7 linked regions of the Callithrix jacchus genome follow. The main gene of each other region encodes a partner of the protein of the gene in region 3 in a complex. Links are inferred from orthologs where the notes say so. Each region holds a gene or a part of one and is shown on either strand. Other genes may lie near its edges.

What was found.
Region 1: the proteins of SFN (region 3) and SOS1 are in contact, whole or in part, in a crystal structure (PDB 6Y44), measured with the Homo sapiens proteins. The link is inferred for Callithrix jacchus from reciprocal best matches to the Homo sapiens genes SFN and SOS1. Residues at the interface, in NP_006133.1 of Homo sapiens: Glu14, Asn42, Ser45, Val46, Lys49, Arg56, Phe119, Lys122, Arg129, Tyr130, Pro167, Ile168, Gly171, Leu174, Asn175, Val178, Glu182, Leu218, Ile219, Leu222, Asp225, Asn226, Leu229, Trp230; in NP_005624.2 of Homo sapiens: Arg1158, Pro1159, Glu1160, Ser1161, Ala1162, Pro1163, Ala1164, Glu1165, Ser1166.
Region 2: the proteins of SFN (region 3) and RND3 are in contact, whole or in part, in a crystal structure (PDB 7OBC), measured with the Homo sapiens proteins. The link is inferred for Callithrix jacchus from reciprocal best matches to the Homo sapiens genes SFN and RND3. Residues at the interface, in NP_006133.1 of Homo sapiens: Lys49, Arg56, Arg60, Lys122, Asp126, Arg129, Tyr130, Glu133, Gly171, Leu174, Asn175, Val178, Glu182, Ile219, Leu222, Asp225, Asn226, Leu229, Trp230; in NP_001241667.1 of Homo sapiens: Asp236, Lys237, Ala238, Lys239, Ser240, Cys241.
Region 4: the proteins of SFN (region 3) and KCNK9 are in contact, whole or in part, in a crystal structure (PDB 3P1P), measured with the Homo sapiens proteins. The link is inferred for Callithrix jacchus from reciprocal best matches to the Homo sapiens genes SFN and KCNK9. Residues at the interface, in NP_006133.1 of Homo sapiens: Lys49, Arg56, Arg60, Lys122, Asp126, Arg129, Tyr130, Glu133, Gly171, Leu174, Asn175, Val178, Glu182, Leu222, Asp225, Asn226, Leu229, Trp230; in NP_001269463.1 of Homo sapiens: Lys369, Arg370, Arg371, Lys372, Ser373, Val374.
Region 5: the proteins of SFN (region 3) and ESRRG are in contact, whole or in part, in a crystal structure (PDB 8BJG), measured with the Homo sapiens proteins. The link is inferred for Callithrix jacchus from reciprocal best matches to the Homo sapiens genes SFN and ESRRG. Residues at the interface, in NP_006133.1 of Homo sapiens: Asn42, Ser45, Val46, Lys49, Arg56, Arg60, Arg129, Tyr130, Glu133, Gly171, Leu174, Asn175, Val178, Glu182, Leu222, Asp225, Asn226, Leu229, Trp230; in NP_001429.2 of Homo sapiens: Arg175, Arg176, Arg177, Lys178, Ser179, Cys180, Gln181, Ala182.
Region 6: the proteins of SFN (region 3) and MLXIPL are in contact, whole or in part, in a crystal structure (PDB 8BTQ), measured with the Homo sapiens proteins. The link is inferred for Callithrix jacchus from reciprocal best matches to the Homo sapiens genes SFN and MLXIPL. Residues at the interface, in NP_006133.1 of Homo sapiens: Gly53, Arg56, Ala57, Arg60, Gln67, Arg129, Val178, Tyr181, Glu182, Lys214, Thr217, Leu218, Gln221, Leu222, Arg224, Asp225, Asn226, Leu229, Trp230; in NP_116569.1 of Homo sapiens: Arg117, Ile120, Arg121, Asn124, Trp127, Arg128, Ala129, Trp130, Tyr131, Ile132, Tyr134.
Region 7: the proteins of SFN (region 3) and LRRK2 are in contact, whole or in part, in a crystal structure (PDB 5MYC), measured with the Homo sapiens proteins. The link is inferred for Callithrix jacchus from reciprocal best matches to the Homo sapiens genes SFN and LRRK2. Residues at the interface, in NP_006133.1 of Homo sapiens: Lys11, Glu14, Glu39, Asn42, Leu43, Ser45, Val46, Lys49, Asn50, Arg56, Arg60, Phe119, Lys122, Arg129, Tyr130, Pro167, Ile168, Gly171, Leu174, Asn175, Val178, Tyr181, Glu182, Asp215, Leu218, Ile219, Leu222, Asp225, Asn226, Leu229; in NP_940980.4 of Homo sapiens: Lys907, Ser908, Asn909, Ser910, Ile911, Ser912, Val913, Gly914, Glu915, Phe916, Tyr917, Arg918.

The regions. Positions count from the first base shown.
Region 1 is NC_133515.1:75,898,036-75,902,202, reverse strand, and holds the start of SOS1 (son of sevenless homolog 1), read right to left. Parts: upstream 2,801-4,167; 5' UTR 2,365-2,800; coding exon 2,278-2,364; intron 1-2,277.
Region 2 is NC_133507.1:79,914,800-79,919,099, forward strand, and holds the start of RND3 (rho-related GTP-binding protein RhoE), read left to right. Parts: upstream 1-1,500; 5' UTR 1,501-1,728; coding exon 1,729-1,878; exon of another isoform or gene 1,879-1,966; intron 1,967-2,374; coding exon 2,375-2,462; intron 2,463-3,350; exon of another isoform or gene 3,351-3,663; intron 3,664-4,300. UniProt on the Homo sapiens protein: Binds GTP but lacks intrinsic GTPase activity and is resistant to Rho-specific GTPase-activating proteins.
Region 3 is NC_133508.1:63,511,942-63,514,950, forward strand, and holds SFN (14-3-3 protein sigma), read left to right. Parts: upstream 1-1,196; 5' UTR 1,197-1,259; coding exon 1,260-2,006; 3' UTR 2,007-2,509; downstream 2,510-3,009. UniProt on the Homo sapiens protein: Adapter protein implicated in the regulation of a large spectrum of both general and specialized signaling pathways. Binds to a large number of partners, usually by recognition of a phosphoserine or phosphothreonine motif.
Region 4 is NC_133517.1:57,814,637-57,818,609, reverse strand, and holds the start of KCNK9 (potassium channel subfamily K member 9), read right to left. Parts: upstream 2,801-3,973; 5' UTR 2,063-2,800; coding exon 1,396-2,062; exon of another isoform or gene 1,136-1,395; intron 1-1,135. UniProt on the Homo sapiens protein: K(+) channel that conducts voltage-dependent outward rectifying currents upon membrane depolarization. Voltage sensing is coupled to K(+) electrochemical gradient in an 'ion flux gating' mode where outward but not inward ion flow opens the gate.
Region 5 is NC_133520.1:12,250,234-12,254,515, forward strand, and holds the start of ESRRG (estrogen-related receptor gamma), read left to right. Parts: upstream 1-1,482; 5' UTR 1,483-1,538; coding exon 1,539-1,627; intron 1,628-4,282. UniProt on the Homo sapiens protein: Orphan receptor that acts as a transcription activator in the absence of bound ligand. Binds specifically to an estrogen response element and activates reporter genes controlled by estrogen response elements.
Region 6 is NC_133503.1:10,062,235-10,066,168, reverse strand, and holds the start of MLXIPL (carbohydrate-responsive element-binding protein), read right to left. Parts: upstream 2,801-3,934; 5' UTR 2,770-2,800; coding exon 2,477-2,769; intron 1-2,476. UniProt on the Homo sapiens protein: Binds DNA as a heterodimer with MLX/TCFL4 and activates transcription. Binds to the canonical E box sequence 5'-CACGTG-3'. Plays a role in transcriptional activation of glycolytic target genes. Involved in glucose-responsive gene regulation.
Region 7 is NC_133510.1:35,491,794-35,495,827, forward strand, and holds the start of LRRK2 (leucine-rich repeat serine/threonine-protein kinase 2), read right to left. Parts: upstream 2,801-4,034; 5' UTR 2,661-2,800; coding exon 2,510-2,660; intron 2,236-2,509; coding exon 2,150-2,235; intron 1-2,149. UniProt on the Homo sapiens protein: Serine/threonine-protein kinase which phosphorylates a broad range of proteins involved in multiple processes such as neuronal plasticity, innate immunity, autophagy, and vesicle trafficking.

The sequences.
Region 1 (4,167 bases), on a different chromosome or scaffold from region 3:
GTCTAGAAGGATGAGTAGTGTTGGATCAGGCAAAGAAAGGTGAGGGGACTAGCATGTCCAAAGAGCCTCAGGTAAGAGTAAGAGAGCACAAGTTGGATGCATCTATAAATAATTCAATAGTGAATCAAAAGAAATCAAGATATGGAGATATCCACATGAAATGTCCAGCAGGCAGGTAAAAATGTAGGTTTGGAGCTACGGACAACATATCCAGATATGAAATACACTGTATTTTCAATCTTGTCTTAGAATCATAGTTATTGGCTATTTAAGAATTGGAAGAACCTTACACATTAGCTAGATTATGTATACTTCCACCTTCTTCTATCACTTACTGCAAAAGTATCTCTACCTTAAATTCAAAAGTTGGTTTACGTAAATAAACAAAGAGGACAAGTGGGGGTTGTGGTAAGGTGGAGATACATGCCTTGTCTAAAGAGGACAACCATTTACTCACCTCCAGCAGTTTAGTGCCTTGCTGGAATACAGGCCCTAACTAGCAAGAACTTCCTATTCTTCAAGAAAAGCTGAAAATTCAGATTTTATGTAATATCTCCCATTTTCAAATGCCAGCAACTAATTACATTTAAAAATAAAACAACACTGTGCCAGCCAAACAAAATGCTTCTAGGGACAGATTTCAGCAAGGGCCACCAGCATGGCAGAATTAAACAAGGTCTGTCAACTCCTACAGTATTCTTCCACTACTTCAAAAGATCCTAAGCTGATAGCTTGGTGATTCCCCCGGGATAGGAGCTGTTTTTGCCTCTAAGCAAAATGGCCCCTATTTGGCAATGCTTTATGAGTTCCTTTACAGGTTTTTAAACAATTTCCCTGTCTTCCCTTACCCTACCTGGACATCAGCTTCTGGCAGCACAGAGACCTCCTAAACCCCTTCCATTACACGCTAAGAAGTCAAACTTGCAGGTAAAGCAAAAGTAAGTAGTGAGAACCTGACGGGATTTCTAAGGATTAAAGTACATAAGACATATGGCGGCTGGGTGCAGTGGCTCACGCCTGTAATCCTAGCACTTTGGGAGGCCGAGGTGGGTGGATCACCTGAGGTCAGAAGTTCAAGACCAGCCTGGCCATCATGGTGAAACCCCATCTTATTTAAAAAAGAAAAGAAAAGGATATATGGCATCTTTTTGGTTTTCTTTAAAAAAAAAAAAAAGAAAAATCACATAGGTGTTCGTGACTAGTCAGACACCTGAAGGGGAAAATGTCAGTAACTTAAGTCAGAAATACATAAGCAAATTCTCCTAACAAACCAAATAGTTTCCACTGTAAGATAGCAAGAGGGACAAGAGAACAGGGCAAAGGGGAAAGTAAAAGTTACTGGCCTTTAAGCACTATCAGACACCTTTTAATGCTTAGCATAAAAGGTACAACATAATCTCCATTCTTAGTAGAAGCAAAACTATATGTTAACTAATTAACATGAAAGAGTCTTCGAGCAGCAAGAAACAGATTTAGAAACACTCTTAGATGAGTAAAGCAATCTTTGTAGAAAAGGTAAATGAAGAAAAGGAAACAAAAATAGTCTAGTACACTGTTGCTCTAGAAGCTTTAAAAATGTAACATTTCCTAATTATACTAAAACATTTAAAAACACAGCAAACTTAAACATACAAAGACTAAAAATTCTTAACAAGCCAAATGACAGCACCAAGAATCTCGAATGCCGCAAAAACAAAACAAAACCCCTGAAATTGGTAGCATGTGCACCAGCCCCTGTTAATCCGAGGAGCAGGGGAGATCAGGAGAACAGAGAGTGATTACTGAGGACGAGCGGAGCAGGCCACGCTCCTGCTGGCAGGCGAGCTCGCAATTCCTTAGAGCAAGCGTTACGGCCAGGGCATTCTCAAGCCACTAAAACGAGCATACTGGACACCTAAAACATGAGGCTGACAACAGCTCCGGGCTAAGACCGAGAAGGCGGAAAAGTGGCCTGCTTTGACCTCCACTGAAAACTGAGGCTTCTCCAACCGTTGTCTCGGAATCAAAGGGCAAAGCATTCACCTCTCGGGGTTGGATTATTCGGAGCAACTGCCCGCGGCTCCCCGCGGCCTTCCCACACTACGGGTGGATGTCAACACTGAGAGCCAGCCGTGTGGGGGACCTCCCCGTGTGCGCCGTCCTTTCGGAGACGCGGCGAGACAGGGAAGAAAGACGGCCCTGCGCGCGCGCCCCGCCTCCCCAGCCCTTCCCCTGCGCCTGCTCGGCGCCCGCGCTGGGGGGCTGCGGCCGGGAAGCGGGGTCCGGCGTGCTCCTCACCTTTTTCAGGGCAGGCACCAGCAGTCCTCGCCACTTGGGCGCGTTCTCTTCGCTGAAAAACTCGTAGGGCAGCTGCTGCGCCTGCATGGTGCCCCCAGGGCGCCTCTGGGCGGGGAGAGGGGCGGCGGCGGCCCGGCCGGGGAGCCGCGAGAGGGCGAGCTCGCTGCGCGGAATAGGGCCGCGGCCCCACCGGACGGCCCGGCCCCCTCCGGGCGCCGCGCAGCCGGGCTAGCCCTGGCGAGGGGGCTGAAGGGCGAGGCCCACGCCCAGCCACCCACCCGACACGGGTACTAGCCGTGGAGAACGAATGCGACCCGGAGGCGGCGGCATCCCGCACCACCGCCCCGGGGCCAGGCCCCCCCGCCCCTCCCTGGCCCGCCGGCGCCGCCCCGGGCGGCCCGCTACACCGCCGCCGCCTGCCGGGGCTGCACTCCCGGGTCCGGCCTGGCCCCGCGGCAGAGCTGGCGGCTGGGGGAGGACGTGTGGAGGGACGCTCTGGCCGCGGCGCCCGCTCCGCGCAGTTGAGACTCCGAAACGCAAGAGCCCTCGGGTGGGGCGGAGCTGGGGGAGGGGGTTTCGCGGGGAAGGGGAAGGACCCGAGGTCGTTGTTGGGGAATCTGGCTGCCCTGAGGTGCCGCCGCTGCCGCCGCCGGTGTAGCGCTGGAGCTTCCTACTAGCAAACTGAACCTGCGCGCTACTGAGCATGCGCTGCCGGGCTGGGCTGGTTCGCTCCGGGTTTTCCGGCTCCCGGTGAAGGAGGAGGGAAGCTGGGGGCGGGGGGAGTGGGGAAGGGAGGCAGGGCGCCTGACCGGGCTGTGGTTGCGCTCCTGGGGACTCCTGAGGAGGGGCGAAAGGGCCCGAGAAATCGAACCCTGGCAAAGTGGGGCCTGCAGAGGGGGTAAGAACTACGGTAAAGAAGCCCCCACTGTGTGGTCTAGCCGTGAGGGCTCCTACCCCTCTCTGAGTCCCTGGGCCTTTCGTTTCGGAAAGGGGCGTGTGTACTTTGTTCCCGAACACAAAGATAAGGACTGCCCAGCACGCAATGTATAGTAAACAGACCGGACAAAATATACAGGTGCTCTGTCTCGAAACCTACTGCTAAGTATCTGCTGGGCAATAGAAGTGATCGCAGTGTTTTTAACTGGTCTTTCCACGTCATCAAGAATAAAATGTGTACATGTAGTATTGATTTTCTGTGTGTGTTAGATTGCATTTGTTCATCTTTTCAACCCTCTCCAAATATGAATTCCAATAAGCACTTTCCTCCAATGGATACTGAGACCTCTTCTAAAGCTCCCAGAACACTGCACTTATTCCTCTCTCAGGGCATTTGGTCTATAGTGTTTTGTATCTTTTGTGGTTCTTTCAACTACATAATAAACTGGAAGGCAGATTTTTTTCACCAGGTCCTCCACACAGAACAGGCACTCAGTGAAAGTGGAATGCTAAAGGACCGGTATATATAAACTGTCCCTCCAGGCCACTGTTTATAATAGTGGCACTTTGTGGCAGACACCTCATGGTTTATCATTAATGATCACTTCTGGAGTATCATCTGATTTAATCCCCATAGCAACCCTATTATTTTCATTTCACCGATAAGAATGCAGTTTAGAGGAACTAGCTTGGGTTGAAGCTGACATTGTGTCCTGCTATTCCTAAGAACAACAGCCAGGATCACGTAGATGAGAAATGTTCAGTGGTTCATAATCTTTACAGGACCTCTGTGAAAATCTGAAAAAGAAAAAAAAAAAAGAAAGTCTTCAGTTATTTCCTTTAAAAATATACAGGCCAGTGGGCAAGGTGGTTCATGCCTTATAATGCCAGCACTTTGGGAGGACAGGGTAGGTGTATCACCTGAGGTCAGGAGTTCGAAACCAGCCTGGCCAA
Region 2 (4,300 bases), on a different chromosome or scaffold from region 3:
TGTGCTTGCTGAATCTTCAACAAGTGATGCGGACACAGTTTCACCCTCACTAATTGGCCCATGGTACCCTGTGTGTCAGGAGGCACTATAGCTCTGAAGAGCAAACATTGGCAAAGGCTGCTCTAGGAACCCCAGCAGGGCCAGCAACCTACTTGTCTGTGGGTCAGCCTTCCACTTGTGTAAACACAGACCCACCGATGGAGTCTGAGTCACTGCTTTTGGTGGGGGTTCCAATTTTCTCAGACCTGAATAGGACATCATTCTTGGATCACCTACGCTTCAGGGGCCCTACCAGTCCACTACTTACATCAGTGCCTTTTCACTTCCCATGTTGAACGTTCTGCTTCGTTTGTTTTCACCCCACCTTCATCTCATTTAAAAGACTAGGAGGCTCCATCGGGGACCATATAAGTTATTTTTAGCCAATGTCCTACTACAGTGTAATGACTGAAACCTCCTGAGCATTTGGGGTGCACGAGATGAAGAGGAGAATAAGAAAGACTTCTGATAGAAAAAGAACAAATACGTGGACTATTCTGGTCCTTTCTAAGACTTTTGCTTTTGGTGAAGAGTTGGAGGGCTAGGGAAATAGATGTGGAGGAGGGGAGAAGAGAGAGTGGAGGGTTGTACCTGTATTTTTCAGCTAAAAGTGTTTGTGCCTTCTGAGTTCAGCCTAGGGTGCTTTGATTCCACGAGGATGGAGGAGGCTATAGATAAATAATTAACAGACAGTATCAAAATCTGTCCACCTTTCACCATTTGCAGTCTCCTCACTGCAAATGTGGAGAGGTGCAACTCGGCGGACAAGTGTTTGTGTCCCAAGCGCAGTAGGGCTGTCTGCAATGGCCTTTGTCACTCAGTCATGAGCATCTTCCACTTCTTTTTCTTCTCACCTCCCACCTCCTGTCCCCACTCCTCAAAACCTTTCTGCATCCACCTTTATGACTGAAACTGACAGGTTTCAGAAGCCATTCCACTACTGTGACCCAGCCACACCAGTTCTTGCATCGGGAATAAACAGGCTGATCTATTGGTCCATGGCCTATGTACTTGACACAAATCATTAGAAAAAACAGAACCTTAACTCTTCTGTGCCCAAGATTTGCTTCCTATGTTTTATAACTGTGCTTTAGGGTGGGAAATGTTTTTGTTTTCATAAATGCTTATGAGGCTTCTAGACATAAGACCCTATTAAAATGTATTTAAAGGGATTGTAGTTCAAATCGATATGCATAGATATCGGTTTCCCACCTTGCCCTGTTGGACTTGTCAGCAAAACATCTTTGAGGTCTTGAAGTTGTCCCAGAGCCTTGGTCTGAAATAGATCCTGAACGGGCACCCTAGAGGGCGCACTGCTTACATTTTCTGCAAACAACGCAGAGCGCTCACTCCCAGGCTCCACAAAAGGGGAGGAGGCAGATCAGTTTCCTCCTCTCATTGAGAAAGCAGAGGATTGGAAGGCCGGGAGTATAAAGCCGCGCAGAGAGCGTGAAACAAAGCAGTCGGATCGGAATTGGACTTGGGAGGCCCGGTGAGGAGTCAGACAGAAAACTTGTTGGAGGGGAGTAACGAGCCGGCTCCGCTAGCTCTCCTCCTCGTCTGCGCCGCGCTTCAGGGGTTTTCCATCAGCCTTGCGATTTATTTTTATAACGAAAGACATATAAACATATATATAATTTTTCTTCATAAGAGAAAATTCCTGTTCCAAGAGAAAATAAGGCAACATCAATGAAGGAGAGAAGAGCCAGCCAGAAATTATCCAGCAAATCTATCATGGATCCTAATCAGAACGTGAAATGCAAGATAGTTGTGGTGGGAGACAGTCAGTGTGGAAAAACTGCGCTGCTCCATGTCTTCGCCAAGGACTGCTTCCCCGAGGTGAGTTGGCCCGCCGCGGCTTTCTGGAGGAGGTAGGCCCGTGGGATCCCCGTCTTGAGGTGGGCTTCCCCGCTTCCACCCGTTTTTCCTTAAAAAAAAAAAAAAAAAAAAAAAAAAAAAAAGTCGTCTTTCTCAAACCTTACTACTTTCCCCTGGTTAGACTGCGGGGAAGGAGAAAGTGCGCTGGAAGCTTCAGGGCTGGGACGCGCCTGCACATGGGCTGGTTAGCTCCTGAAACTTGTTCCTGTGTGCAAAACCCGGGGTTGGAGATTCGGGTCAGCATGTCCGTGAGAGCAGGGCGGAGCGAGAGGGGAGCAGGACAGGAATTTCGGAAAGGGTCTATGTGCTTGGTGTGTGGTCTGATGGGTGTGAGGGTTTTTTTTCTTAATTGGGGAGCGGGGAGGCGATTTTCAAAGGGTGTTCAATCGGTTTCGTGCGTTTTAAGATAACCTCTTCGCCCTCTTTCCTTCCTCTTTTGCCCATTTTGTCTATCCAGAATTACGTTCCTACAGTGTTTGAGAATTACACGGCCAGTTTTGAAATCGACACACAAAGAATAGAGTTGAGCCTGTGGGACACTTCGGGTAAGAGCGGTAGGACCGCGTGGCGCTTGGGGCGGGTTTCCAGCCGCTGGGGGATGAGCGGCGGGTCTCGGTAAACCGCGCGCTGCAAGCCGTCTGCGCCCCTCCATTAGCTTTGCCCCTTCGGAGGGATTCCCACGGTCTCTGCTGGGCGAAAATTGTATCCCTTCTGGGTGGGGGCGGCAGACGGCAGCGTGGACGAGGAAATGGCAGTGGGGTGAGGAGGGCACTGTGTGCCCGCAGGCTGACCCCGCGGTTGGAGCCACTAGTGGCCAGGTGGCCGGGCACAGTCTGCCCGCGGAGCCGTGGTCTGGTCGCCTTGGGGCGGCCGAGGTGGCCAGACGCTGGGGGGTTTGCGGAGGCTCCGCTTGCGCCCCCGCGGAACCACCCGGCTCGCGGCGGGTTCCCTCCTGATCTAACCTGATGGTTGGCTGGGAGGTGGGGGCCGCCGCGGGGGTGGTGGGAGGCGGGAGAAAATCCCCGAGGCGACGCGGTTACATGCGATTGCCGCTCTTGAGGGAGAGAAACTGAGCGCAGGCAGCCGCGGCGCCGGTGACGCCTACAGCCAGGAATGCGCTGGCGGCGCAGGGGCCGGGCAGCCGCTGGGCTTCCTCTTTGAGCCGCCGGCCGCCCGCGGCGCCTCGGTGCCCACCTGTACCGAACCTCCCTTTCTCCCCCACTCCATCCCAGTGATCTTGCCGTTCCCCTCCACCACACCAGCCCCTCCTGACCTCTGTTGCATCCCCACTCTGCTTGCCTCCAAGTCCGCAGGCAATACTATTCGCCTTTGACCTTCCCGTCTACTTGAATTATTGGCGCCGCGGTGGGTTATATTCATGGGTCTGAGGTTCAAGGCCGGGTTATTGCTTTCCCATGCGCCCACCCACCTACCTGGCGCGCGGTGTTAGGGAGGGCTGGGTACCCTACCGGTGGGAAGCCATCCGGCTCCCCGGCTGAGTTAGGGGTTTGGGCCAGGTCAAAGACCGTGGCGTGGCAGAGGGGCACCATCTAAGGTCTTGGCCGGGGACCCAGGCACCCGCCGCCCTAACCAGCGGTGTCCGGCGAGTCTGTTTCCAAGAAGGGTGTCGCCTCTGGAAAAGCAGGAGTCATTGGGAATGCTGGGTCAAGGCCCCTGCTTAGGGCTGGGAGTTTAGCCGGGAGCTGGGTTGCTAGTGGACGGAGCCAAATCCGGGGTGAAACTGGCGAGGAGGAACGCGCAAGTGCCAACAAGCAGGTTTGCTGTCAGGCGGGGAGGCCCCGAGGTGGAGCCGCGCCCAGCGGGGAGTGGCCTCATGGAGGTGCTTCTGTGAGCTTCCCACAACTCTAGGCTTGAACCGCTGGAGCCCCCGAGGGACGCGGGGGATCTAAGAGCATGAGGAAGGAACCAGACTGACAGGGTCGCCAGAGGCGGTCCCTGCACAAAGGCAAGCGAGAAGTCTCGCAAGAGCGAGCGCCTCTCACGGTCGGTGCCAGATGCTGCGACTGCTGCAGTGAGAAGGGCTGATTTTGTTTCCCCCTAGAGAGTCAGGTTCTTCTTTGAGCCGTTCCAAAGGCAGCAGAGTCAGGACTTTGCCGCCTTGTTTTGTGTTGGGAATTGTACACAGACTCGAAACCATAGAGAAGGTGTTGGTAGACAGAATTCAAGTGATTCCTTATTTCAGTAGTTCCTGTCATCAGAATTATTATACAGCCTCGTACTTAATGGGCTCTGATTCCTAGACACATCATGGTATGTATTAGTTATGCCTAGTGGATGTGACAGCTGGTGTGGTACCAATAATAAGCACCAGTACTCCCTGCCCCCACCCGCAGCCCTGTTTGGACCTAATGCACGATAAAAA
Region 3 (3,009 bases):
ATAAAACAGAATGATATGTGTCACTGCCACCTACCTTCCTCAGTCCTCTCCCTCCCCAGGTTGCTAGCGTCCCCCCTGGGGGATCAAACTGGACTGCTTCCCAGCCTCAGACAAGAGGGCAGTCTGAGTCAGGCAGGAAAGTGGGACAGCTGGGGAGCTGGACCCCACCCTCTGGAAGCCCCGCTGGTACCTGATGGCATATGGCTTGGAGAGGGCAGGTGACCTGGCATGGAGGGCCAGAGGGTAAGTCCTCAAACAAGTGGCAACAGGCCACCAACTTGAAAGGGAAAATTGTGTAGTGATGGGAAATGTGTTCAACAAACCTACTGGGTGACTAATTACAAAGGCTGGGCTGGAGCGTCAGAGGCTGCTTGTTAAACACTTTATTAAGTGGCACTCCGAAAGCTGCCACCTGTGCATTCTGGGAGCTCAGAGGGGACCCATCTGGGGGATGGAACTGTCTTCAGGTAGACTGAGGAAGCAGCCTGGATCTCATTTCCAAACACAGCCTGGAGCTCATAGGTCAGAGGCCTCATGGGAGAAAATCTAAAGGAGGTAGGGTGCAGAAAAGAGTTTCAGGGAATTGGTGGCTATGTGACTTTGAGCAAATCTCACCCCTCTCTGAAACTTAGTGTACCCATCTCTATGGTCCTGTGTATGTCACAGAGACATGGAGGGGATTAAAGTTGATCATGAATATAAAAGTGCTTGAGAAACTGTATAGCCCTACCTATACATGAATTATTCTCCCCTGAACCAAGCGGGGGAAGTTACCTCTCCGGATTAGGAACCCCATCCTCCTGAACCTTTATGAGCTCTATCAAGGCTGAAGCAGCCAGGGGCTAAAGCCATCCTTAGCCCCTGGAAGGGCACTGTGAAAGAGGATCTGATATGAGAAGCCAGGCAGCTTCCTGATGTGGGCAGTCATGTAATGCCAGTCCTGAACAAGAGGGGGCAGCGTGGAGCCCAGAAAGGCACCTGTGCAGGTGGGGCCAACGCCCAGATTTCTCCTGCTGACTGTCCTGATGACTCACTCCCACATCCCAACCCTTTTACCTTTCATGCAGAGCCGGAAAGGGTGTGGGGAGGAGAGGAGAGGGAGGCAGGTCTTGGGCCCTGGTCCTGCCCCCTGCTCCTCCCCACCCTTCTCAGGGCCTGGCCACCCAGCCAAAAGGCAGGCCGAAAGCAGGAGAGGCACAGAGTCCGGGATTGGTCCCAGGCAGCAGTTACCCGCCGCCCTCCTGTCTGTTCCCAGAGCCATGGAGAGAGCCAGTCTGATCCAGAAGGCCAAGCTGGCAGAGCAGGCCGAACGCTATGAGGACATGGCAGCCTTCATGAAGGGCGCCGTGGAGAAGGGCGAGGAGCTCTCCTGCGAAGAGCGAAACCTGCTCTCTGTGGCCTACAAGAACGTGGTGGGTGGCCAGAGGGCTGCCTGGAGGGTCCTGTCCAGCATTGAGCAGAAAAGCAATGAGGAGGGCTCGGAGGAGAAGGGCCCCGAGGTGCATGAGTACCGAGAGAAGGTGGAGACTGAGCTCCGGGGCGTGTGCGACACTGTGCTGGGCCTGCTGGACAGACACCTCATCCAGGAGTCTGGGGACGCCGAGAGCCGGGTCTTCTACCTGAAGATGAAGGGCGACTACTACCGCTACCTGGCTGAGGTGGCCACCGGTGACGACAAGAAGCGCATCATTGACTCGGCCCGGTCAGCCTACCAGGAGGCCATGGACATCAGCAAGAAGGAGATGCCGCCCACCAACCCCATCCGCCTGGGCCTGGCCCTGAACTTTTCCGTCTTCCACTACGAGATCGCCAACAGCCCCGAGGAGGCCATCTCGCTGGCCAAGACCACCTTCGACGAGGCCATGGCTGATCTGCACACCCTCAGCGAGGACTCCTACAAAGACAGCACCCTCATCATGCAGCTGCTGCGAGACAACCTGACCCTGTGGACGGCTGACAACGCCGGGGAAGAGGGGGGCGAGGCGCCCCAGGAGCCCCAGAGCTGAGTGTTGCCCGCCACCAGCCGGCCCTGCCCTGCCCCCTCCAGTACCCCACCCTGCCAAGAGGACTAGTATGGGGTGAGAGGCCCCACCCTTCTCCCCCAGGCGCTGTTCTTGCTCCAAAAGGTTCCATGGAAAGGGACTGGCAGAGCCGAGGCCACCTGGGGCTGGGGATCCCACTCTTCTCGCAGCTGTTGAGCACACCTAATCACTGGTCATGCCCCACCCCTGCTCTCTGCACCCGCTTCCTGCCGACCCCACGACCAGGCTACTTCTCCCCGATCTTGCCTCCCTCCTGCCCCTGCTGCCTGATGTTAGGAATTGAGGAGTAAGTGTCCCGCCTTGTGCCTGAGAACTGCACAGTGGTAGGGGCTAGAGATTGTGTGTGTGTGTGTGTGTGTGTGTGTGTGTGTGTGCGTGCGCTTGCCAGTGCAAGATCGAGATTGAGGGAAAGCATGTCGGCTGGGTGTGATCATGTTTCCTCTCAATAAAGTTCCCCTGTAACACTCCTCCTGTCTCTTCCAGTTCTTGGCGATGGGCTGGGAGTGGGACTGGAATCTGATTTAGAGACCCTGAACTTGGACCTGAGTTAGGACCCTGACCTCCCTGGGTGCTCAGTGACCCGCACGCAAGACTTTGAGTCCAGGTGAGGCCGGGGTCCAGCTCTGTCCTTCAGGGAGGCCCCACACTGGACGGGCCCGGAAGGGGCCGGTGAACCCACAGGAGGCGCCAAGGCTCCTCTGCCGGGCTGAGGGGAGGTGAGTGGGAGCCGCGAGGTTGACGAGCTCAGGTGGGGCGGGGCAGGAAACAGTGAAGTCTCCGGCGTGAGATCTAAGGACAGCGCCGCAGTAGCGAGCGGCACTGAGCACCCGATTTGCAAGCAGGTCACAGTCTCATCACGGGCTCCGATCTCAGCGGAGGGGAATACCATCTGAGTGAGGCAGAGGTATAGCGCAACCCTAAAACCCCAGATCTCAGGAGAGAGTCGTGTCCCACAGAGTTCGGAGAT
Region 4 (3,973 bases), on a different chromosome or scaffold from region 3:
CTTCACAAACAGAAAAACCTGCACCAATGAATTAAACATTTAAAACAAGATGACTCTCTAAAAAGTATTTTCAACCAAGAAGGAAAGACAGGCCGTCCTGTGCTGGCACTTCCTGTTGCATATGGCACTGAGAAATCCTGTTTTTTCAGCATGCAGAGATTTGCAGACAAAGAAAAATATCAAGGGGAAAATTAGAGGAGGAGGTCCAGAGAAGCGAGACAGGAGAAGCTGGGGAGAAGTCGGGGAAAGGAGGAGACCCCTGCCCAGGGCACAGGGGTATCAAGCCCTGAGGGGTTCAGGAAACAGACCACCCCTGAGCTAACACACTGGCCTTGAGAGGTCTAAGGAGATGGCCCTAGAGAGGCAGCCTGCCTCACTGGGACAAGTGAACCAGAGACACTACCCTGCCTGCTGCCACGCGCAGGTTATCCACCTCTCTACCCAGATGGAGGGACCGGCCCCCTCTCCCACAGGTCTCGAAGTACAAAGTCTGGGAGTCCTCCCTGCCCCCAGCCCTAGAGGGAACACTACCCCTGGGACTCACCAGAGACCCTGCTCTGTGAATAGCGCCCTTGGGTATCCCTGTAGTCTACCAGCAGGACCCCCTCTCAAGACTGGGGCTCAAGTTCCCTGGTTCTCTGGGCAATATCTAGACCAGCCTTTCCCACTGTCACAGCCTAGGGAGTGGGCAGGTTCTGCCCTGCCCCCACTCTCCACCTCTACTGAGAGCAATTGAGGGGCTGCCACCCCCACCACAAGCACCAGAGAGCAAACTCTCTCCTCTCAGGGGCCTGGAAAGCCCAAGCTCCAGAACTGGAACTCAGGGAGGAAAAAAGGAGCCGGAGGAAGAGAGATGAAATCTGAGCTCAGAGGAGTGTGGAGGGGGCCTAGGGGGTATGGAGGGTCAGTGACTCCCACCCCCCAGGCGCACTCCCCTGCCACCTGAGTCCCTCTAGGAGCCATGGGTACCAGGCCAGCCCTCTCCAACTCCCAGAGAGGTAGTAAGTGTAAGGCTCAGAGCCCCGCGCAGCCCAGCCCGCGCCGGGGCGGTGGGTGGGTGGGTGTCTGCTATGGGATTATTCTTAGCGCTCCACTCTCTTCGCAAAAGTGGCGCCTCCGCCCTCCCGGCTCAGGCACACTCGCTCTCGGGGCTCACACGCCTGGCCCAGACACCAGCGCGTTGGAGAGCACCGGGTGGGGTCCTCGAAGGGTGAGGCTCGGAGGCGCACCGCAGAGGTGAGGGCTCCCTAGATAGGAGGGGGCGCTGCGGGAAGGACCCAGAGGGAGGCTGCGTTTAACCCTCGACGCCCTGTACCCAGCCCTGCGCCGCGCGCTCTGCCGCCTTCCCGGACTCCTCCCGGGGCGCGGGAGCCCGGCGGCGCGCCCAGCCCTTACCTATGGTGGTGATGACCGTGATGGCAAAGTAGAAGGAGCCGGCGAATTTCCACTGGACGCCGGCGCGGTGCGGCTCGGACTGCAGGATCACCAGCTCCAGCTGCCGGTAGTCCTCGCTGCTGATGTTATACTTCCCCTTGATCCGGATCTCCTCGGCTTTGAGTTTCTCCTCCTCGCGCATCTCGTGGTCCGACTCCAGGGCGTCGAACACCGCGGCGCCCACCAGCAGGTAGGTGAAGGTGCAGACGATGAGGGACAGAGTCCGCACGTTCTGCCTCTTCATGGCCGCCAGCAAGGAGCCGGCGCGGGGGGCATGTCCCGCAGGCTCACAGCCGCGCGCGTCCCACTGCAGCGCCCGGCGGCCGCCGCCGCCTCCTCCTCCGCCGCCGCCGCCGCCGCCTCCAAGTTGTAAGCGGCGGCGGCAGCAGCAGCAGCAGCAGCGGGGAGGCGGGGGGCGGGGAGGCTGGGGGGGGGGCCCTCCGCTGGGGCCGCCACAGCCACCGCCACCGCGAGGCGGCTGGCGGGGCAGGGGCGGCGCGGGCCCGGGCTCAGCCGAGAAGGCGGACAGGCACAGGAGGCTGCTCGAGCGCCGGGGCCAGGCGTCCGGGAACCCCGACACCCTGCGCCAGACCCGGCCGAAGCAGCCCGCCCCACTGCGCAGGGCCATGCAGGGCGGCCCCGCTGGGTACCGCGCGGGCCTCGCTGCCCTCCGCACCCCGCCCCCCGCTCTCACGGGAAAAGCAGGGACGGGAACCGGGGCCAGAAAGCGGCCGGAGGGCGGCCGCGGGGCCCCGCAACCCTGTGGGTCCAGCTCGCGGTTGGCGGCGCCCAGAAAGAAGCCTGCAGGTCCGCGCGCCCAGCGGGACCTGCTTCCCCTTTTACCCCTCCTCGCCCCCTCTCGGTGGTGGGGAGGAAAAGTTTGCGAAGTGGCGGTGTCTCTGGAGTCCCCTGCAAGCGGGGAGGGGGCCAAGCAGGTGCAGCGGGCGGGGCAGCCTGCTCCCCAAAGGTCCGAGAGCCCAGCGCCCACCCGGGCGCGCGGGGGCGCAGCGGGGTCCCTGCCGGGCGTCGGCCGGTGCGCGAAGTTTGCTCGGCTCAACCCCCAAGGCGCGGGAGCCGGGCTCGGCCCCAGGACGGCAGGGACCGCGATGGAGTGGCTTCGGGGGCGGCCTGGGGACGGCGCGGTGGCGGTCGGCCAGCCCGCTCCTCCGGGGGCGGCGGGCGCGGCGGCGGCGGCGGCGGGAGGGGTCCCGCGGGCCTGGTGGAGCAGCCGAGCGGACGCGGGCGCATGAGCCGCGCGGGGGTCGGGGCCCTCCGGCGTCCGAGCGTCCCGGGAGGCGGCCGCTGCGCTGGTCTGCCCCAGGCGCTACGTGCGTGCGCGCCGTTGGGAGCCCGAGTGTGTGTGTGCGAGTGTGTATGTGAGTGTGCGTGTGTGTGTGCGCTTGGCAGCCCCGCTCCTGCGGGAGGGCCTCGGGGAGCGGGGGCCGGGCTACGCCGAGGCCGGGCCTCCCTCCCTCTTTCCCTCCCTCAGCCTCCAGGGCGCGCCACCTCCCGCCTGGTCCCCAGCCAGCTGGCGAGGCTGCTGTGGCAGCTCCCGCTGCAGACCGAGCTCGGCGCAGGGCGCACGCGGAGGGAGCCCGGGAGGGGCGGCCTGAGCCTCAAGGGAGGGGACGGGGGCGGAGCCGCCGGCCAGTTTTGGCGGGGGATGGGAGGATAAACGCGGCCTCTTGGGTGCTTCTAGCCCGGCTCCCCAAGAGCGCAAGCAGCCCTGGCTGGTGGAGAGTTTGAGGGACTCAGGGTTGGGGGAGACAAACGGGATTCAGCCAGAGATGGCAGACTGGCAGCTTCAGGCAGATCGGGTGGAGAGTGGGGAGCAGAAAGGGAGGGGGCCATGGCGCACCGGAGCGCGGCGGCAGCGGTGCACGAGGTCTCCCCACGCCCCCGCCCAGGCACCCGAGGTGGGAGCGTGTCGTTGGCCAGGGACATGGCCTCGTGGAGTGGTGGGGTCCCGATGCTGACTCTGTTCCCTCGCCTCCCACCGGCACAGCCCGCTTGGCCCAGCACCTGCAGACCTGAGTCGTTTCCCCTGGAGAGCGCTAAGGATAGCATGGGCTGCCACTTTTGGAGTCAGGACAGCGGGGAAACACATCGCCATCCCCCGACCCTCTGTTGCTTTACTGAAAAAAAAGAAAAGAAAAGAAAAAACACCCTGGTTCCCCACAGCTGGGCACAAGTTGCGCCCCGGATGCAGCCCTGAGCCACGCGGTAGCCCTTCTCGGGACCACCGGGGGTAAGAACGCGAGGCTAGGGCCGGGACGCACCTATTCCTTGCTTCCAGATGAGGCCTCTCTAGGCTTTATCTCCTTCCCATTTCGGCCTCCTCCCCCTCCCCGCCCTCTCCCTTTAGGCTTTCAAGGGGCTTTCCCTTGACCACCAGCTTCCTCAGTCCAGCCAGGAGCAGTGGAGTTCCAAACCGACAGACCCAAGCCTCAGAGACCCCGGGGCTCCCCTTTCTCTCTTGACTCCAGCCAAGGAAGAGATGGAGATGGGAAAGTGTCGCCTGGCAGCGGGATAGCAGCTG
Region 5 (4,282 bases), on a different chromosome or scaffold from region 3:
CATAGAGTATTACCTACTCAGAATGTTCTAGCTCATGGAGAGTCTCCCAGTGTGACAGGTCCTACCCCAACTTTTACAGTGTTCCAAATCAATGCACATATCCACACACATCCCCCCACTGTATACTCTCATAGACACAAATATATACACCTAGGCAGACAATTACGAATATATACAAAAAAACATTAGCAGCACCTCTGGATTCTGTGAGTGAACTCGTGCTTAGCACTTTATCTCATTTCTTGCTTTAGAAATATCTTTATCTCTAAATGTACAGAAATTAAAAAGGAAATAATGTGATGAACTGCTTCTTTAAGACAGGGAAAGAGAAGTTCTACACTGGTCATTTGGATCTGGGGAATATTGGCTGGTAGGGAGGGAAGTAGGAGGGAGATCGAATCCCCAGGCTGTATTTTCCTAGCTTTGTGTGTGATTGACAAAGGCCCAAATAGCCTGTAGATGCTGGAGGATTACGTGGGTTGGGAGAGTTCAAGTCACCATCGAGCTTCTCCCTCCACATTAGCCTGGGGACTGAGGTTTTTTTCAGGAGTATGTTCTGCTGCTTCTCAGTGATGCTAAGGAAAGAAAACTATCAGCAGCATGTTGATTTTAGTTTATCATATGTGTAGAGAGTTTGATAGTTTTACTCTGTTTAGATAAATAACATGGAATAGAGGAGATATATAATGGAAAGGTAGAGAGCTCACTAGTTCAAACTAGGGAAAAGTCTGAAATATAAAGTTTAGGAAAGTAGGATGTTTTGTTAATCACTAGTACATAATGTGGATATCCTCACATTGTTTCTAGGTAGAGGTCTTTCAGAAATTTCTTTAACAGGGCTGGGCACAGTGGCTTATGCCTATAATCCCAACACATTGTGAGGCCAAGGTGGGCAGATCACCCAAGGTCAGGAGTTTGAGACCACCCTGGCCAACATAGTGAAACCCCCTGTTTACTAAAAATACAAAAATCAGCAGGGCATAGCGGCACGTGCCTGTAGTCCCAGGTTCTCGGGAGGCTGAGGCAAGAGAATCACTTGACCTGGGAGGTGGAGGTTGCAGTGAGCCGAGATTGCTCCACTGTACTCCAGTCTGGGCAACAGAGTGAAACCCTGTTTCAAAAAAAAAAGAAAAAGAAAAAGAAAATTCTTTAACAGATATGTTAGATATTTTGTAATTAATTTCCTTTAATAAATATTTTTGGGAGTCTACTTGATTTCCAAACCCTGCTCCTGACCCTGAGGCTAGAGTGGTGACAAGGAGAGCCCCAGCACTCACAGACCTTAATGTCTCGTGGAGGTGTTCTGTGATTACGTAACTATACAAAGAGGAACATCCGGAATTCCAGAGGGTGGTGATAGGAAGAAAAGAAATTGAGGATATGATAGAGAACAACTGAACAGTCAGAGGAATATTGAACTTTAAGGGGTAACCTTTGAGCCAAGAGCTGAACAAGGAGGAGGAGCTGATCCTGTGAAGATTTGAGAGTAGAATGTTCTTGGCAGACAGAAGAGCAAGTGCAAAGGCCTGGAGGTGGGAATGAGCTGCGGTGGTTCAAAAAACAGGAAAAGAAAGCAACACGACTGGAGCCTAGTGAATGAAGGAGTGTTTGGACTTGAAGCTGGCAGGTAAGCTGAGACCCGATTGCATTCAGCCTTGTTGCCCGCAGTAAGGCGTGCGCAATGCACTGTGTGTGTGATGGACAGCCAGAGTATCTGCTTGCAGACAGTACGTTGAAATTCTTAAGGTTTATTGAAGTTCTGTCCCTGTAGTATTCCTTTCATCTTTAATTTGCTCGGCTAATCTTTCCTTACATATAGTATGAAGGAAAATTCAGCCTATATTGGATTTTCACAAGAATTCTGAAACCATTCTGGTTTGAATGAAATAAAATGCTATTTTGTGTTGGATGGTATTGAAAGGCTGCCCTATCTGCACTGGGCCCTTAATCTCATTTTGGGTGAGGAATTTTCCTTGAGCAGTTCAGAAGAGGGTAACGTTCTGTTTTGTGCATTCTTTGTATCATTGCTTAATGCAAAGATCCCAGCAACCGCTTCGAACCCTAGAATGCCTGCCTTGTCGTAGACTTCCAGGCAATGGCTGGGGTTTGTAGTCACATACAGTGCAGATGCCCATTTGTATCTGTAATATCTGAGCCTGCCTAATGATCACGCCGCAGCCGGGAGTTGTTGGCGGAAAGCTGTCTTCTGGGCTTCTCGTTGAACATTTCATTCTCCAGTGTTTGTGTTGCCCCTCCTCTTAGGGCTTCCTGAGCTTGCTCTGATAAGTAAAGCCAAGTTTACTTTGTTAAGCTCAGCAGTTCCCAGCAGTAAATAGATAAGAAGGGGGAAAAAATTAAGTATCTTTGGGAGAAAAGAAGCTGTTTCTGTTTACAACAGACACTTTGTCCGCTTTTTCATGACTTCGTTTAATTTTCGCGGTCTGATACGACATTTACCATGATATCCCCTAAACTTTGAAGTTTAACAGAGGGTTTGATTAAGCTTCTTGTCTCTGGTGGAATCATCACATCTGCAGGTAGAACCCTCTGAGTTATTTGAGGAATGTCAGTTGCACTATGTCATCTGTGGGAGAGACGGTTGTTGTTTATCTTGTTTAGAGAATTAAGAAATGATTATCTAACTGATCATCAGTTGGGGGGTGATGATCGCAGCTGCAGTAAATACCCTACTAAAACTTGTAGCCCTCTCATGAATTTTCAAAAGAGTTACTGCTGACTGAGTCCCTTGGTGCTAGGGGCATTTTTGAAATAATCTTTAACACTTATAGCAACCCTGAACGGTAGGTACGGTCACTGTGCTCGTTTTGCAGGTGAGGAAACCGAATCATCAAGAGGTTCAGGGATTTCCCCCGAGTGGAGATGTGAACCCAGGCTCTTTGCATCAGGCCCACTGCCTCCTCCCTCTTGTGCCCTGGGCTCTGTGTATCCTCCTTAGAACAAATGCTCAAGTGTCCAACCAAGAACGTAATTGGATCCTGCAGAGAGTTGCTTTTTTTTTTTAAACTAAATAATGATCCGTGCCTGGTAGCATGCTGCCAGAGCTGCAGAGGATGGTTGGTGTAGATGGCATGTCAGGGGCATTTAGTTTAACCAGGACGTCCACTGTCCTCATCCTCAATTCCCCAAGGCACTTCTTACTCTTCAGGGTGTTTTTTTCTCTTCTGCAACTCTGAGTATTTCTCCAAATGAGATTCAGTCTATCCCCTGAGTAAATAGGCCAGCAGGGACCAGCTGTACAGGGTTCCACCGCCTGCTGTTTCCTCTGTGAATCATGTTCACACCCTCCATTCCTTACAGCTGAGCAATCAGATTCTATCCATATCACCTCAGACCTATAATCTCATTCTTTCCATTCTTTCTTCTATAGTCTCCTGACACACACACACACACACACACACTTGCACACACACAACCACACACTTGCACATACAGCCACAGCCACATAAACACACACGCATCTCTTTGCCTAAGTAACGTTTAGCTTAAAAAAGAGCTTGGCCTGGTGCTACAAGAGTCATGGTCTTTCACAAAGCACTCCATGAAGAATAACATGCTGGGTCATGTCTCCTGTGGTCATTTCCCATGACAGAGATCCCCTGCAGTGCTGCATTATGTAGCACTGGTAATCTATGCCAGATGACATGGGCCTGGGGCACACAGAAGACTAAGGGAATAAGAGGGTACATGATTCCAGGTATGTTTTACAAAGCTCAGAGAAACGTGGTTACACATACACACAAACATGCAAATAAACAGATGTATATGATTATGCACAGGTGGTCCCTTAAAACTGGTCCCTTAAAAAAAAGCAACTCCAGCACTGTGCTTTTCACACAAAGGCCATTCACAAATGCTTGATGAAACAATGACAGCCTTGTACTGTTTCAACAAGTGGGAACGTGCAAACAGGATGGAGTTCAATTGGCCGGCAGTCATTGGGAACCACAGGCCAAATGTGTCAACAGTAGAGAACTGCCACTAAAAAGGCTGGCAGACCCAGCGCGATACATGTGGTCGTGTAGTAGATCCGCGTGTTCGGGGAGGTAGAGCAGCCTCTGAATTGAGTGTCATTTCAGCCATTAGTGTTGTGTTTCATATGGAGCGACACAGCCGTTTCAAAAGCTCTCATGCTTCCTTAGCTGGTGGAAGTTTCAGAAACGATGGGACTATGTACCAGCTCACTACAGAACTCTCAAAGATGACAGGAATAGGTCCAGCTTTGAGAGTTATGTGGGCAATACATGGGAGCATGAACAGAGAA
Region 6 (3,934 bases), on a different chromosome or scaffold from region 3:
TGTCCACAGTTCAAGTCTCAGGGCTTTTCCTTCACCAAATGGGGAAATCTAGAAGCTCTCCTGGTACTGTGCCAACCCCCCATGTCTTTTCTTTTTCTCCTCCCTTTCCTTCCCCTTCCTCCCTCCCTCCTTCCCTTCCCTCCCTTTCTTTCCTTCCTTCCTTTCTTCCCTCCTTTCTCTCTCATTCCCTCCCTCCCTTCCCTCCTTTCTTTGTCTCTCTCGTTCCCTCCCTCCCTCCCTTCCTCCCTCCCTCCCTTTCTTCCTTCCTTCCTTCCCTCCTTTCTCTCTCTCATTCCCTCACTTCCTCACTCCTTCCCTTCCTTCCTTCCAAGGGTCTCACTCTGTTACCCAGGGTGGAGTGCAGTGGCGAGATCATGTCTCACTGGAGCCTCAACCTCCTGGGCTGAAGCAATCCTCCTACCTCAGCCTCCTGAGTAGCTGAGACTAGGAATGGGCCATCATGCCTGGCTAATAAAAAATCTTTTTGGCCAGGCAAGGTGGCTCACACCTGTAATCCCAGCACTTTGGGAGGCTAAGGTAGGCAGATCACCTGAAGTCAGGAGTTCAAGAGCAGTGTGGCCAACATGGTGAAACCCGTCTTTACTAAAAATACAAAAAAATTAGCTGGACATGGTGGCCGATGCCTCTAATCCCAGCTACTCAGGAGGCTGAGGCAGGAGAATTGCTTGAACCCGGGAGGTGGAGGTTGCAGTGAGCCCAGATTGTGCCATTGCACTCCAGCCTGGGCAATGAGTGAAACTCTGTCTCAAAAAAAAAAAATTTTTTTTTTTTTTTTGGTAGAGATGGGCCCTCACTATGTTGCCCAGGCTGGTCTCCAACTCCTGGGCTCAAGCAGTCCTCCCATCTTGACCTCCTCAAGTGCTGGGCTTACAGGCATGAGCCCCTGTCACCGGCCAGAGAGACTTACTATTAATATTTGAGGATTGGGGAGAAAACACAGTCCTCTCTACCCCAGCTGTCTCGGACTGGGGTTACATCAGCCTTGAGTCAGCAGCCTTTTAGTGGGGGGCAGTTTTGGGGTGTGCTCTGTCCCCTACTTTGCCAGCTCCCCAGAACCTCTCCTCTTTGGTCACCTCTCCCATGGTCAGGGTGGGGGTTGGAAGTGAGGACCCCCAAGTGGAATGATGGGTAGTACATAACTAGAAGCCAAAGTTGGGGGTGGGTGGGAAATGGGAGATCTTAGGAGGAGTGCCGGCATCGAGTGTACCAGGACCTTAGATGCCCCGTCCCAGGCAGTCGCGTGACATTTGGGGAGGGAGGGAGAAGGGACGGGAATTTGAACTTTCCACACGGGTCTGACGCCCCGGCCGATCGGGTTGCAACAGGACCTGGGCCCGGGGCCAGAGCTTGTGGGCCAAGGTTACTCTGCCTCCAGCCAATGGGGTCGCAGCTGGGCAGCAGCGGTTGGGGACAGGCAACACTCCCCCCTCCCACCCAGTCCCCACCCCAGCTCCCGATCCCCTGCAGGGCGGCAGGTGCCAGAGTGTAGCCATCGGTTCTCAGAACAGGAGGAGGCGCCGCAGAGGAAAGATCAAGGCCGGCCGATCCCCCTTTCTCCCCTACGGGTTTTCGGTTGATAATTTATCCTGGCCCCTCCGCTCCGGGGAACTTTGCTCCAGGGCACTGGGCCAGGCCTCGGGTTCGCGCCCTCCTCTGGGACGTGGGGCGTGGAGAGGAAGCCGGGCGCGGCCGGTGCGCTCTAGGAGGCTCTGAGCTGGGGTCCCAGGCAGCGACAGGCGCTCAGCCTAGGGCGGTGACGCGGGTAGGCGAGCCCAGGCTTCCCTCCCGGGCACCGGCGTAACCTCTGCAAGCTGCGCCTCTTAGACATTTCTGGGACACCCTCCTTTCTCCCGCCACCCTTGACGCAGCACATCAAGAAGAGGTGTCTCAGCAATTGCGGGGAGGTGGATGAGAGACTAGGCCAGTTTGAGTCCACTTTGGTTATGTATTGGGACAGCCAGGGGAGCGGCGAGTATCTCAGGGCGCAGGAACTGGGCGGGCCTGGGCCGGGGCTGCTTGGGGGAGGGCCGAGGCCTGCAGGGGGTCGGGTGGAGTGGCTTCAGAGTGGACAGTGGGGATGCGCGTGGGTGGCCTAGGGACCTGGGACGCCTGGCACTTTGGAGGGACGGAGGAGCCGGGACCAGAGAGGGGCCCCGGAGGTCCAGGTGGAGGTGGGGCGCAGGCGGTCTGCGCCCTGGGGAGAAGGAGATGGGGGAAGAACGGGAATCAGAACTGCGCAGGTCCGCTGGGGGCCAGCGGGCTGGGCCGCGGTCAGAGGACCCCGGTGCTGGGGGAAAGGGGTTGTCCAGGGCGTGATCAGAGCCTCTAGGAGCTGCCGGGCCGGGCTCGGGTGGGGTGCTGAGGACCCCAGCGCGCAGTCCTGTCCCGGACCCCCCCTCCCCACCCTCCTCGACCCTCGATGGCCGGGCCCGTCGACGCCCAAAGCCGCCCTCACCTGTAGGCCAGGCTCAAGCACTCGAAGAGGCGAGTGAGTGTGGGGTCAATGCTGCGCGGCCCGAAGTCGGAGAGCCCCACGGAGCCCTCCTGGTCGCGCCGCCGAGGCAGCGAGTCGCTGTGTGGGGACGACACCATGAAGTGACCGCTGTGGATCACCTGCGAGCGGAGCAAGCCGCCCGCGCCGCGCCGGAGGCTTGGGTCCTCCGAGTCCGTGTCCGAGTCCGAGTCTGGGCTCGGCACGACCCGCGGGACCTGCAAGCCCGCGGCCAGGCCTGCCAGCGCCCCGGCCATGACTGTCGCCGCCGCCGCCACCGCCTGGTCCCGGCTCCGCGGGGAACTGCTCGTGGGCAGACTGGCCTCATTAACATAGCCCCGCCCCTGCCTCGTAGGCTGATTGGGTGGGCGGGGCATGGGGCGGGGCGGGGCTTTATTAGCATAATCTGTGCGCCAGGTGAGAACCCGCGGCCCTGGCGCTCCCCCGAGTTGGGCTTATCTCCCCTGTCCTGGGAGTCCCTGATAGAACAGCCCCTACTTTGGTCCAAAGGGATCTTAAGGGTCAGGCCTGGCGCCAGGAGCTCATGCCTGTAATCCTAGCACTTTAGGAGGCCAACGCGGGAGGATGGCTTAAGGCCAGAAGTTCAAGACTAGACTCAGCGATATGGCAAGACCCTCCCCCATCTCTACAAAAAGAAAATGCAAAAATTAGCTGCGCGCAGTGGAGAGAAGCTGTAATCCCAGCTACTGGGGAGGCTGAGGTGGGAGGATCCCTTGAGCCCAGGTGTTCGACAACGTGGCAAAACCCTGTCTCTACAACACATACAAAAATTATCCGGGCATGGCGGCGTGCACCTGTAGTCCCACGAACTCGGAAAGCTGAAGTGGGAGGATCGCTTGAGAGTGAGCGGAGATCTGCACTCCAGCCTGGATGACAAAGTGATACCCAGTCTTAACAACAACAAGAGGGTCCCCTGTCACACCTGAGCCTGAAGGCCCCTCAGGACCTGGGGTTTGTGCTTTCAGGGACACCCTCTTGTGAGTCCAGAGGTCACCACCTCCCCTCACCTAACTCCTGTGTTCCACCTACCCCCCATATTAGCGCTGGGTCCTCCACACAGCTGGAAACCCTCACCTCTCAGGGGCCTTGTGTGGTGGGTGCGAAGCAACGCCCCTGAAGGGCCTGGCCCGCAGGAGGTTATTAATACCTCTAGTTAACATGGTGGCCGGGTGCAGTGGGTCACACCTGCAATCCAAGCACTTTGGGAGGCCAACGCAGGAGGATCGCTTGAGGCCAGGAATTCGAGACCAGCCTGGCCAACATGGCAAAACCCCATCTCTACTAAAAATACAAAAATTAGCCAGGTGTGGTGGTGCGTGCTTGTTATCCCAGCTACTCGGGAGGCTGAGGTGGGAGAATCACAAGTCTGGAAGGCGGAGGTTGCAGTGAGCTGAGATCTTG
Region 7 (4,034 bases), on a different chromosome or scaffold from region 3:
GGCAGGAGAACTACTTGAGCCCAAGATTTTAAGTCTGCAGTGAAGCAGAGTGAGACCCTGTCTCTAAATTAATTACTTAATTAAAAATAAAAGAAAATGTGGTATACATACACAATGGAACATTATTCAGTCATACAAAATGAAATCCTGTCATTTGCAACAGTCTGGGTGGGACTGTAGGTTATTAGGTTAAATTAAATAAGCCAGGTGCAGAAATAAAATATTGCATAGTCTCACTCATATGTAGGAGCTGAAAAGGTGGATATCATTGAGGGAGAGAGTAGAATGGTGGTGACCAGAGGCTGGGAATGAAAGGATGGGAGGGATGAAAGAAGGTGGTTTAATCAGCACAAAAAATATAATTAGATAGAAACAATTAAGTTCATATACAATAATATAGTAGGGAAATTACAGTTAATAATTTATTGCATATTTCAAAATAGCTAGAAGAAAGGAACTGTAATATTGCCAACACAAAGAAAAATGTTCCAGGTGATAGATATTCCAGTTACCCTGATTTGAACATTACACATTGTATACATGTATCAAAATATCATATGTAACCCCAAAATATGTATAACTATGATATATCAAAAATGAATTAATTAATTACTTTTAAAAAGACTCTTCCTTGTTTTCCAGCATACTTTGCTTCTGGTACCCTCTTGGCAGAAATATTAAGTGACACTCATAACTACTCCAGACAAGTATGCCCAGGTTTGAGCAATTTCTAAAATTAAGAATTAGGTGGTGAGTATGTTCCAGGCACTCTTGGGTTCTCAAGTGTAGCACTGCCTTTATCTGGACGCTGTAGACCAAAGCCTACCCAGGTTCTGACTGTCCTGAGTGTTATCAAGCAGGAGTGACTCTATCAAGTACAGAGTCGAGGGAATTAAGTTGGCCGGAATCAGGCACTTCTGAACACCAAAGCAGTGGCAAGTAAGAAGGGATGATGTGAGTGCAGGGCAGGAAGCACTATAGGCCAGTGCCCAAAGAGTGACTCATATTCCACAGGCAAAATTCCGACTTTGACTCTTAAAAGAACAGCATCTTTATTATGCCTCCATCTTTTCTTGGTTTGGTTTTGATATCAGCAGGAAAATCTATAATAGTCAAACGGAAAATATTTCACAGTTGAAAACAAATTAAAATATTTCTTCCAGATATAAATGTCCTTGTATCAAAGAAGCTAGATGGTTCACCCAGACTAGATACAGCTAGCTACAGAGATAAGCATGAAGATAAAGACAGACGCACACCGATTTAAAGATTGACATGTCTTACATCTCTCAAGCCTCGCAAGTATTAAGAAACATTGGCTTGCTGACTCCACCTCCGTGGCATTCAAAGTTCAATTCTCTTTCTCCGCATGAGTTAACTTAACACTTAGATGACAAAACAGATGTCAGTTCCCCAAATCTCAAAGTGCTCCAAAGGAAGTTATCACCTTGGCTTATAATTTTGTTTTGACTGGAAATCAATCTTAATTACCATTTTAAGGCCCCCTTTAAAAAATATATCCAAGGTATTTAGCAAATTTCTGAGTTTCCAATAGTACATATTGTGAAAGTTTCACTTTTACACGCATTTTTTATGACAGCAGTTGCAAATTATGAGGAACTCATAAGACATCACTTTCTTTAGAGACTACAAGGTATACTCTAACTGAAGGCTAGATATCTGTCTTTGAGTTTAAAAATAAAGTGCTGAGCTCTACAAGAGTTTGCCAGTGACTAAGTGGCATTTTATCACCATTAGTTATTCCCCTTTTCCAAACTGTTCATAATCCTTTTATCTAGGACACACCCTACATTGGGAAGATTCTTGGAATAGGTCTAAACACTAATGAATTCATCTTGCCAATAACGGGACTAAACCTGAACCCATTTCTATCCCCCTACTACACTATCCATATTGTGGGTTTCATAAAGTTACTTCTGAAAGATACTCAGGGAACATGTACTGGGGCCCTTTACCAGTTTACATTGTCTAATGATTTAACAATGTTCCCATCTTAAAATCACTGTCAGAGGTTCCTCAGGCCAAATTTCGGGAATAACCAAGAACTCCCGGGTATATAACACTGCCAGTAAAACGTCTCCTTCCAAATAGAAGGGGGAATGAGTTGAAGTGAAAACAATGTCTTTACCTGCTGCACACTCGCGACTCTCATATACGAGTCCAAGACGATCAACAGAGGAACGTGGATATTTTTGCCTTGAAATAACTTGGAGGCTGGAAAACAAGGGGGTGAGGAAAAGAAGCAAAGTCACAATCCACAGCACTCCCTTTCCTTTAAGTCTGAAAAAGGGAGAAAAGTCAAAAAGGTGAACGCGAGACCTCTCTGGAATTCTCAACTCTACTCAGCCCTAAGGAAAGGATATGGGAGTTTGAGGCTCCTTAAGAGTCCGGGTTTGAGCAGCGTCAAGGGAAGGAGGACGAAGTTTGCAAAAGTGAGGAGGGGGTGAAAGTTTGCAAAAATAAATGCAGTTTCCTTGAAAGTGATTACCGTGCTCGGAGTACGTGAACACCAGCAGATCCTCCAGGATTTGGACCAGCGTTTCTATCTGTTTTCCTTCCTGGACGTTGTTCAGCCTGACTATTAACTTCTTCAGAGTTTCCTCGTCCTCCTCGCACACCTGACTGCTGCCACTAGCCATGGTGGCCCCTGCTTCCAGCCCGCAGCCCTCCCAGCACGAACGTCCGCTACTCCGGGAACCGGCAGGGGCGCCGGCCACAGCTTCCCGGGGGCGAGCACAGCTCACCTCACCGCCCGCAGCCAGCGCTTCCCGCGGGCCCCATCTGCACCCACGCCCGCCTGTTTATGAGGAAGGCGGCGGCTCCCCGCCCCGCGCTGCCCTCCCTCTCCGGAGCCCTCCTGCTCGGCTTCCTCCTCCCCCACCCAGGCCCCAAAAACTAGCTCAGGGGCCTGCCCGAGTCTCGGCGGAGGCGACGGGCCTCCCAGAACCCTGGCGGCGGCCGAGCGGCTGCTGGAGCCGGGCCTGGCCGGGATGACCGTGACCGTGGCCCCCACGCCTGCCTAAACCCGACCCCGGGCTGGCGCCGCCTCCTGGGACCAGATTCCACCCCAGCGGCGGCGCGGCCGCGAGTCGCGCAGGAAAAAAACTGACTCGGCTGACTCCGCTGAGGCCCCAGGCCCCGAGCCCCGCAGCGGAGGCGCCACCCTCCGCTACCCGCCAGCGGGGGTCCCTGAGGCCCCCACAGAAGGTCTGGGAACTGGGAGCAGGAAAAATGAAAGCCGCCTATCTCCAGATCTAAGAATAGAAATCAGGGCGTTGGGAAAACAGGACACCGCCCAGATGGCCCCTTTTAGGAAAACATTCTCTTTAGAGTTCCCCCTATAGGGAATCGAGTAATTTCCCCCAAAGGACAGAGAGAGGTTAGCTTTCAAAACTTGCCTGCTACTGTCTTTTTTATGATTGTGGTGACTGTTCGTGGGAGAGGAAATAAACATTGTTTCTCTGTGAGTTATCTGAAACTCTGGTCACCACAAGGCCCCTAAATTAACTTTTGGAAATTTGAGTTGCACTAGGCAGGATCCTAATGGTTGGGACACCCGAAAAGTAATCAGCTCTCAGAGCTATTAGAACTAACATGGAAGAACAGGGTACATTAAATGAAAGGTGAAAAGGTGAGAGAAGCAAACCTAAGTACTTTTCTCTTGGTATTCAGAATTACTTATGAGTGTCCATCACCCCCAAGTTTTTTTGTTTTTTGATGTTTGTTTGTTTGTTCTGTTAAGTACCTAAGTAATGTGTTTTCTAGGAGCAACCAAGCAGGAACATTGTAGACAAGGCTAGGCAAAGATGATCTACCCTTCAGGTGATGTGTCTGTCCTCAAGTTCATCTACAAAGAAGAGGATTGGTCTGGAAGTTAGTACTTCACAATTTTAGATTTGTTTTCACATGTTATTTCAATCCTGATGACAATTCTGAAATGGATAAATGTATCCTTCTTTCACTAACGAGGAAATTGAGATTTGGAGTTGATAAGTGAAGAGCTTTGCTGGATT